Drosophila melanogaster: one gene and its partner. The protein of the gene in region 1 interacts with the protein of each later gene in a pairwise test. Each region holds a gene or a part of one and is shown on either strand. Other genes may lie near its edges.

The links.
Region 2: the proteins of Sas-6 (region 1) and Cnb interact in a two-hybrid assay, tested with the Drosophila melanogaster proteins (one study listed by BioGRID).

What each region holds. Positions count from the first base shown.
Region 1 is NT_033777.3:29,993,676-29,997,836, forward strand, and holds Sas-6 (spindle assembly abnormal 6), read left to right. Parts: upstream 1-1,681; 5' UTR 1,682-1,691; coding exon 1,692-1,865; intron 1,866-1,924; coding exon 1,925-2,776; intron 2,777-2,834; coding exon 2,835-3,168; intron 3,169-3,222; coding exon 3,223-3,281; 3' UTR 3,282-3,351; downstream 3,352-4,161. Other genes in the region: CG7903 (uncharacterized protein), read right to left, coding at 87-138, 198-413, 473-1,064, 1,118-1,403, 1,475-1,483; CG15525 (uncharacterized protein), read right to left, coding at 3,352-3,700, 3,763-3,899. UniProt on the Drosophila melanogaster protein: Central scaffolding component of the centrioles ensuring their 9-fold symmetry. Required for centrosome biogenesis and duplication. In ciliated neurons, required for centriole assembly but not necessary for cilium basal body and cilia function.
Region 2 is NT_037436.4:1,945,753-1,951,070, forward strand, and holds Cnb (centrobin), read left to right. Parts: upstream 1-1,812; 5' UTR 1,813-2,033; intron 2,034-2,094; 5' UTR 2,095-2,107; coding exon 2,108-3,271; intron 3,272-3,329; coding exon 3,330-3,491; intron 3,492-3,553; coding exon 3,554-3,891; intron 3,892-3,955; coding exon 3,956-4,361; 3' UTR 4,362-4,510; downstream 4,511-5,318. Other genes in the region: mu2 (mutator 2), read right to left, coding at 1-732, 787-1,267, 1,328-1,528, 1,587-1,697; mv (mauve), read right to left, coding at 4,827-4,947, 5,009-5,318.

The DNA of each region.
Region 1 (4,161 bases):
GGAACAATGAAAAACAAAATTCGGCTATTACATTATTAAGTGGAGTACACGTGGACTGGCAAACATCGTTGCTGCATTGCACTTGCTTAAAATCTTCTATTGCCGCCCATATTTGGCCCGGGTCTGGGCCCGTTGAAGCTGGAAATGGCGATGATTGGGGTTAGTGGTTTTTATGCAGACGATATGAATGAACCTACCGGTTTCTTTGGCCTGGACCTCCGCCGCCACTGCCCAAGGGCGGGAACTCCGAGTGATATGCATTTATGCCATTCTGATTGTGATTTCTACCTCCTGAACCTCCGCGTTTGCTTGGGCCTCCTTGGGGACTGCTTGTCTCGTGACTGCTATCGCGTCTGTCATTGAATCCGCCTCCTCCTCCATTGAAAAATCCACGTCCTCCCGGTGGATTTCCTCTATATGGCAAAACAAGATATTATATATAATTTAGAACCCAATCTTATGCACAACTTACCCATTAGTCCCACGATTGCCAGAGTTCATTGGTCCATTGCCAAAGCGTCCGAAGCCCATTTGCTGCTGCTGATGCTCTACAGGCAGGGCAAATCCACGTCGATCCTGTCGCACATGGCTTGGACCTGGGCCGCCGCCGCCGGCCCTCTGATTTACGGATCCTCCTCCCCCGCTGCTGGAGCTGCCTCCCTGAAAGTCACTATTATTGCCTCCTCCCCTATATCCGCTGGTTGGACTGTTCTTAAAGTTTCTTCTGCCAGGCTGTGGTCCACTGTTGTCCCGCTGCTGAAACCGATTGCTGCCGAAGCGTCCCTCGTTGCCCGCGCTTCCACCGAACTTGCCTCCGCCTGCAAATTTGTTCCTAAAGCCCTGTCCCTGATTGGAAGACTCATTGTTCGGTGGTCCTTTCGAGTATGGAGCACTGCGCTGTTGTCTGTAGTTGGACTCGTTTCTCACGGGACCAAATTTGGCGGCCGAGGAGTTCGAGCTCCTTGGGCCTTCGTTGGAGAATCTGCCACCGACTTCCTCACGAAAGTTGCGCTTGAAGTTGGTATTGGATTCATGAGGTCTCTTGTCCGCCCCGCCACCTTGAACTGAGGATGATGAAATACTTAGATGCTGGATCTTTGGAGTGATCAAAGCTTACCCTGCGAGGGCCTGCGCCCCGGATTGTCCCCAGAGCCCGGCTGACCTCGACTGCCACCTCCCGGGCCGTACTTTGGCCTGCCCGCCTCCACCACAATGGGCTGGCCCTTGAAGATGGTGCCATTCAGCGCTGCGATGGCCGCCTCCGCCATGTCCGTGTTCTCCAGATGGACGAAGGCGCAGCGATTCATCACGTCGCACTCAACGACCGATCCATAGTTGGTGAACAGTCGACGCAGCTCCTCCGGCTTGCAGCGCGGCAGGCTGCCGACGAACACCTTGGCGGTCTGCAGGATAAAGCTAGCATTACTCCGGATTACTATGGACAATCCGGCGGCGCTGCCTCTTTCTTACGTACAGTATTCATGTATTTATTTTTCTCTACAACTTTTCGCTGTTTTTTTCTTTTATTGAAATGGAGATGGACAACTGTGCACCTGACCGGCAGTGTGACCAGCGATGGCTACTTCCACGGCCATATCGGTAGCTATCGACATCGATAGACCCAAGCCATCACTTTTGTTTACCAATTTTAAAATTTTAAAAATTAAGGTTTCTCACGAGCCTGATCTATCATGTGGCCTCCAGGGAGCGAGGATAGCTACTCCGCCAAAATGGACTATGGCAAGAGCGTGGTGAACATCCTGCCCAGCGTAGAGATGCTGGTGAACTTTAATGGCGAAATGACGCGGTCTAGCAAACGGTCATGTCTACTGTACGCGGAGAGAGTGGACTTCAAGGAGCTGCTGGTAAATATGCTTGTCAAGACCTCCTCCGATCAAATTTCAATACATCCTCTGCCCCACAGCAACTCCGATTAACGGAGAAGTCCGATCAACGGCGCATGTACATCACCACAGTGGACAGCGCCTCCTTTCAGGATCTTAAACAGGATCAGTCGCTGAATGTGTCATTCTCTGGGTTCATTGACAATGTAGTGCGCATGCTGAAGGACTGCCAGTCGGGTAAACTGGAGCTGCACCTGACCACACGGGATCAGAACCTTTCATCCGGCAGGGAGGTCCACGACTATTATCTTCAGTTTGTTGAAATTCGGTCCTTTAAGAACCTAGTTCACCTTAGCCTGCCTTGTCGTTCTGCTCCCTTGAACACCGTACTCTTCTACATAAACAGCATGCTGGAAGCCTCCCACAAAAAGCAATATATTCTCGAGCAAAGTATGCAGCAAATGCAGGCTGAAATCAACGCACAACGCGCGCATGCGGAAAGGTTGACCACGGAAAACACAAATATCAGGGAAGCTTTGGCCGAAAATACTCGCATCTTAGAGGAAAAGCATGCTGCCGAGGTCCATCAATACCAGGAAAAACTGTCCAAAATAAACGAGCAGCGCAGCAATGAGCTGGAGAGAAATCGTAGAGCGATCTCCGGCTTTCAGGCCCAATTGGACAAGGCTTCGTTGGAGAAAGCAGAACTAAAGTCGGCCCAAGAGCAGGCCGAGAAACGATGTCAAACCCTGTCCGAGGAGTTGTCCTGTTGCAAAGCCAGAGTGTGCACCCTAAAAGAGCAAAATGACAAACTGCACGGGGATGTGGCCAATATCAGGAAGCATGAACGCAAGTTGGAGTACAAAATCGAGGACCTCAAGCAGCACACTGTCGAGCTGCAGGAACATATTCAAAAGGGAAACAAAGAGAAGGTATGTGTATAAAAAGAATAATGCACATCAGAAGAGTATATCCCTTTTAATTTTGCAGGCCAACATAGCCGCTGAACTGGAGGCCGAGAAGAAGATCCTGCACACCAAGCGCCAGGCTTTGGAAATGGCCTCCGAGGAGATCTCCAAGGCCAACCAGATAATCGTTAAACAAAGCCAGGAGCTGCTCAACCTCAAAAAGACCATTGCCTGGCGCACAGAGGTGGCTCTGCAGCAAGAGAAGGCGGTTCAGGCCAAGGAGAGCCTACTATCCCTGCGGGAGAATGAGCTGCGCGAGGCTCGAATAACTATTGAAAAACTGAGGGAGGAAATCCCCCAGCAACTGCAATCCATGCGTAACTTTGCCCAGGGACTGGAGCAGAAGTATTCCAAACGTAAGCTGAGACCCCAATCTTTAAGTGTACCTACTTACAACTTGCTCTTTTCAGAAATCCTCATTCTAAAAGAACGGCTTGCAATACCCACGGGCAAAGAAAATCGGCGATAGTTTTACTTATTGTTAATGCATTTTTTCGTTTTTTGTACCAGTTTAGTAAAGTTAGTTGTATTATTCAGCTCTAGTCATAATCCTCCTGAACACTTTCACCTGCATGAGCCGTGGCCACATTCACCGCTTGGCTGATATCCTCCATTTGGTTCAGTTTCAGTCGCTCACGGATGAGTTCAGCAATAGCTTTCTGGGTACGTCGTTCCAGTCGCTCCAACTTTTTGCTGGCATCCCGCTTCAGATCCCAGTCGGGTTTTCGGGGAGCCAGGTTGGTTATGTCAATCTCATCTATCACCATGGGCTGCTGGAGCAGACTCAATTGATCCTCCACAGCTGATTCTATGTTGCCCGTGGGTTCCTGTGCTAGAATCTCGCCATCGGTGGTCTCATTCTGGGGCTTGTAGCTGCGGAAAACTGGTCTGCAAAGATATATGAAACTGGTTTATAGGGATTCATAATAGCATTTCATTGTATTGCTGACTTGGGTAACTTTTCAATGGACTCGGCAGCGTCTCCTCCTTTGTTTTGCACTTGTTCCCGGAGTTTTTGCAGACGCTCCTTGCGTTTTAGAGATTCTTGTGTCAGCTTGCCGACGCCATTGTTGTCCATCATGCCCATGTGAAGTTTGTTCTCAAGATAATACAATTAATTTAAATTTGAGTCTGGGGTCTTTACGTTTATTTATTATTGTTATGTTTCTTGTTCTTCCCATACATATATCGTATATCGATTACAATCGCGTTCGTTACCAGCTTGGAATTATGCAGGTATGAACTATTATTTTACAACAAGATATTTGTTGTTATACAAGATTCGATTTTATTTTATTTATTACAATTTAAGATTAAGGAGGCGTATCAAGATATTAAAAATACATAAT
Region 2 (5,318 bases), on another chromosome or scaffold:
GGCAACGAGAGCTATTGATCTTGGCGGGAAATGCTTGAGTGGCTATCAAATCTTGGTTGGAAATCTCATTATTTTCTGGTGAAGCCATGTTTGCTTGTGGGATTCCTAAGTTAAATGCCTGAGTTTCTATAAAATCTTGGTTGGAAGCATCATTAGCTGTAGAGGGTTTAGGTGAATCAACTTTTTGTGGCGGTGCCAAGTTAAATGCCTGTGTCGCTATGAGATCTTGATTGGCTTCATTTTCTTGTGGTGCCTGCGGACGTCCTAAGTTAAACGCCTGAGTAGCCACGAAGTCTTGGTTGTTTTGCCCATTGTCTTCCTCGTCACTTTCCAACAATTTATGTCGTGGAAATCGTTGAGTGGCTATCATATCTTGATTCTTTTCCTGACTATTCGTGTCAGGAGTGGCAGTGGGGGTCTCAATCGTCGCCACAACCAGCTGTTTAACTCCGCCAAACTGCGGTGTGGCGGTATTTGTATTGTCCGCAGGACGAACGAACGGATCTGGACTGCTGGAGCCATCGCGCCTCCTATCCCCCCCCATGATCAGGTCAAATAGATCGGGTGTGCAGATATTTCTATCTACGGACGGAGCGGTCAAATCGGGAGTAATGCAGGCATCGCCACGCGGCAATATATCATCCGCTTTGGTGCTACTCAGAGCACAGCATTTGGAATTGCTAGCCGACCAGTTCAAGGCACTCATTTCCATGTCGGTGGTGTCCAGTTGATCTAAGAAGAAAGCGCACATTATTGAAAGTTATCAGTTTCAATGGATGCACATACCCCGCTTAGTATCCTGATTTTCCAGACCTTCAATTGGTGCTGTTGGCGGCGGAAGAGGCAGCAGAACATCGCAGAGTACCTGTGAGGTATCGAAGTCATCGATGGCATCCTCATTATAATCCTGGGTGCACATGCGTATAATGCTGCCCTGAGATGATTCCTCATCGCTGTCTATCGTCGGACCTGGCTTATCAACTACGGGAATAACCGGGGGTTTAAACACTGGTGGTTCAGGTGGAAGATCCGCAAGCATATCCTGCGTTTCGGGTATCATGAAGTCATCGCCCAGCGACACTCTTTGTCCGGTCGAAGGCCTTTCGCATAACACCGCTTGGGTCTCGGGTATAAATAAGCTATCTGCCGTTGTGTTGACTGATGTGTTGGCGGATGGAGGCTGTGTTTCCGGAACATCCATGCTGTCCAAGGTTGTGTTGTTTAATCCGTTCTTCAGGCATTCCCCGAATCCGCTACTGTCGTGGACCTGAACGAAGGGTAAGCATTAAGTTATGCATCCTGTAAGAATGGTATTTGGTGCCCATACCTCATCGTGATCTTCTCCAAACTCTAGCCTGGCCTCCACATTGCCAAAGCGGAGTTTCACCTTGCCGGCCACGGCGTTCTCCATGCCGATGTCCACCACGGTCTCCTCCTGGTCGTTCACAAAGATCTTGCCCACCAGGGCAGCCAGGCGCACCACACCTCGGCGCAGTATGCAGGCTGTGGCGTGGGCCAGCTCCATTGACTGCCCATTGAGGATAGGAGTTATTAAAGGGGAAATGTTTAAGTAAGGGCCAATTTACCTCATCGGCGATGCTTATTTCCAGGCCCTTCTGCCTCCCAATGCGGTAAATGGTATCCGCTTTCAGAAGAATGGCCGGCAAACCGCCAAAAAACAGGCTTACATCTGCCATCCTGGCGGCAGTTCCTTCAAAACTGAAGGACGAAAAAAAAAAACAAGACAATAAATGGAAACAACAAACGCACTGAACGGTCACACTTGAAATGGGCGCCAAAAACAGGCGATATATACGGTAGTGTTAATTACAACAGATATGCCAAAAGGCAAAATAAGACTAACAACGTATATTATTTTTAAAATTATATAGTGCCTTGTGAAGACTAGAATATCGAGCTTTAGTTTTTGTTTTGACACACTGAATAGTGATATACCGATAGTCCATTGTTTTCGATAATCCTGCATTGCCACGTGCACCTGGCAACCCTGTGCATCACCATGGCAATCGGTGGTTAGTTTCACTTTTGTTTTGAAACAACAATTATTGTACTATAAGCATACTATTAATACAGTTAACCATGAGGCATGAGTGATACCGATACGGACGACACCGATCTGCTGCTCCTGATACCACCGAACTTCTGCGCGGAGGACAAAATGAGCGCATGCGCGGCGGCAGATGCGTTGGCCATGCCCCCGCCCCCTCCCCCGGCGACCACAAGTGCAGCGTACCAGTTCCTACATCCCAGCAAGAAATCGGAGCTGAATAGCATCAATTCCCGGCTGCAGAACATCGCACTGGATGCGGAGGAGCCTCCCTCGGACATTTCCACCATATCCACGAATACTGTAAGGAACGCTGGAAGGCCAAGTAGGGAGCTCCACGGCATGGTGCACTCCACGCCGAAGAGTGGGTCCGTTGAGCCCCTCCGCCATCGACCACTGGACGACAACATTCTGCTCGAAATCGACCACTACCTAGACGACAATAATGCGCACCGTTGGCAGAGGCACGATCACCACCTGCATCACCGCAGCGACGATCATCTGAGGAACGAGCGGGCGGGGAAAGAGGGTCATCCGGGAACCTCGTCTCTGCCCAGCATGAGGCTGGCCTCATCATCCTCCGGCGCCGTTTCTGTCGAAGCAGCCAGGGTCGATCGAAGCAGCCTGAATGAGAACAAGATCATAAGTCTGAGCGAGCTCTGGGGCAAGAGCAGCTTGACCAAAACTGTACTCGACAACAACTCGCCCAACCGACCACTGTGCAGCTCTTCCCTAAAAGAGGAACAACTCAGAAGGCAGCATCTGGAGAAAATGGTGCACACACTGCAGTCGCATCTTTTGGAGTACCAGCAGCGAATCTCAGTGGCCATCGAGGTGGATCGTTCGAAGGATGCTGCTCTCACCGAGGCAGAGCAAACAGTTCAAAGTCTCAACTACGAGGTTCAGCACCTGCGGGACGCTGTCCACCGGCTGGAAGCGGACAGGGGCGAATCCCAGAGCCGGTTTGATGCACTGCAGAACGAGTTGTCGCAGGCGGTCAACTTGGCCACCAGGTTTCAGGAAAAGAATGATAAACTCGAAAGGGAGTTGGACCATTGCAGGCAAGACGCCAAGCAATGGGAAGAAAGACTGGAGCAACTGGAAATGCAACTCAACAGCAGCAAAAGAGCGGAGGAGCTGTCACATGCCGAGCTGAATAAGCTAAGGGATAAGTTTGCCAAGGTAGACTACCAACAAGAAAAGGTAATTTAAAAATAAGATTTCAACCACGGCCACTTTAACCACATTTCTTATATATAAGCTAAAAGCGCGGATAGAGGAACTGGAGAAGGAAAATAACACGCTGACCAATCAAAAGGAAATGCTGCAAGAATATCATCAGAAGCAGAAAGCAAGAGCGGATTCCTTGGAGAGCCATCGTAAATCCCTACAAGAAACTCTGGCGAACCTAACTGAAACTGAGGTTATTTAAAAATAAATACAAAAAAAAAAAGAACTCAATAATAAATGATTGTTGTTTTGCAGACCAATCTCAAGAAGAAGCTAGATATACAGCAGAAATCCCTAAAGCAATACTACCAACAGCAAATGGAAAATGTTGTGGCCAAGAAGATGCAGGAGTTCCAGGACCAACTGGACAAGAATGAGGAGCATTTAAAGAACGAAGCTCGGGAGCGTGAACGACTCATAGCCGAGCGGGCAGTAAAGCAGCTTGAAATGATCAATGAGAAAAACAACCAGGAATTGAATCTCATCCAGGAAAAGCACAACGAGGAGGTGGAGCTGTACCGCCTTCAACTAGCGAATGCCTCGAAGAAGATCGATGAAATGGATCTCAAGCTCAGCTGTTACAAAACAAAGCGGTAAGATATGAGAGCCTTATTTGTTTTCTGGTTTAAATAGAAATGGTTTTTTTTTCCATTCCAGTGCTGATATTGCGGAGAAACTGCATGGGGTAATGGAGGCCCAGTGGCAGCAGGCCCTTGCTATCCTCACCACTCCTAGTCAAAACTCCATTATCCAATCCAGTGACACTGAAGCCAGTGAATCTCCGGAGCTAAATAATGCACGCATGTATCCAGAAACGCCCAAATCGAGCAAATCGCAGCGCAGCAACAACACTGAGAAGAATAACCTGGATGTGGTGGGCAAACGGGATCCCCCCTCGCCGATGGACAAGCTGCAGGCCTACATTGAACTGCTGCTCAGCAAGTCGCCCAGTGATTTCGACAGGCTCGACGAGATCTTGGCCATGACATCCAAACAGGGTAGCAAACAAAGCAAACCAAAGAGCGGAAGTGGCAACAGTAAGCCTCCACCTTGGAAGTGCTGACAACGAGAGATGCTTTCGACAAGTAATATTCTATCTAGTAATACCTGTAGTTTTTTAAGAATGACTGCCTCTTTGAATGGCCGCTACAATGGACATTGTAGTTGTATATTTTTCTATGGAATTCTGAAAGTAAATAGTTTAGTTTTTGCAAAATATGATTGTTTATTTGATAATATCAACAATTGAAGGCAGCGTGGCATTTGTATGCAGCACGGGAAAAACAAAGGTGAAAATTTTAAATGTAATAATAATATAAAGTTTTGGTACAAAAGGTGTATTTTACAGCTCTATGAGACCTAAGCCTAGGAATCTTGTGATATATTAATTTTGTGGCTGTCGCCAGCGAATGTTGTATTTTATATCTTTTAAAAGGATTTATTCTTTGATTCAGCTGTTTCTTAGATCGTTTATGTGTCTGTCATTGATATGCTTTGAGTTGAATTATTGAGTATTTTCCCATTAACATTATTTGTAGACGATTTGAGGGAATTTCGGGGCATTTCCATAGAGCCCCTCTGATTCCCAGACTTGGATATGGGACTCTCGCGTTAGCACCACCAAATGCTGATGGGTTGAGTAGCAAATGCTGCAAGTTAAGCAGGGATTAGATTGTATTTTATTCGAATATGGAGCCACTTCTCTCTTACCTACGAATGGGCGATGTACCCGTGGTCAGCTCACTGACGAAGCTCAGGTTCCAGCTGGACCAGAAGCGCACGAATCCTCCCTCCACAGCAGTGGCTATCACGTTGACACCCACTCCTTCCTTGATGTAGGAGTAGCACACGGCCAGGATACGATCCTCGTGCACCAGGTGCTGCACATACCGCGCGTTCACTGAGTGCAGCCTCAAAATGGACTTGCCATTGGGATTCACATTCACATTGACGAAGTCGTCTAGGTTCTCCTCCGTTACCTCAAAGCATTCGTCGGCCACGTTCAGCGAATTAGGTCTGG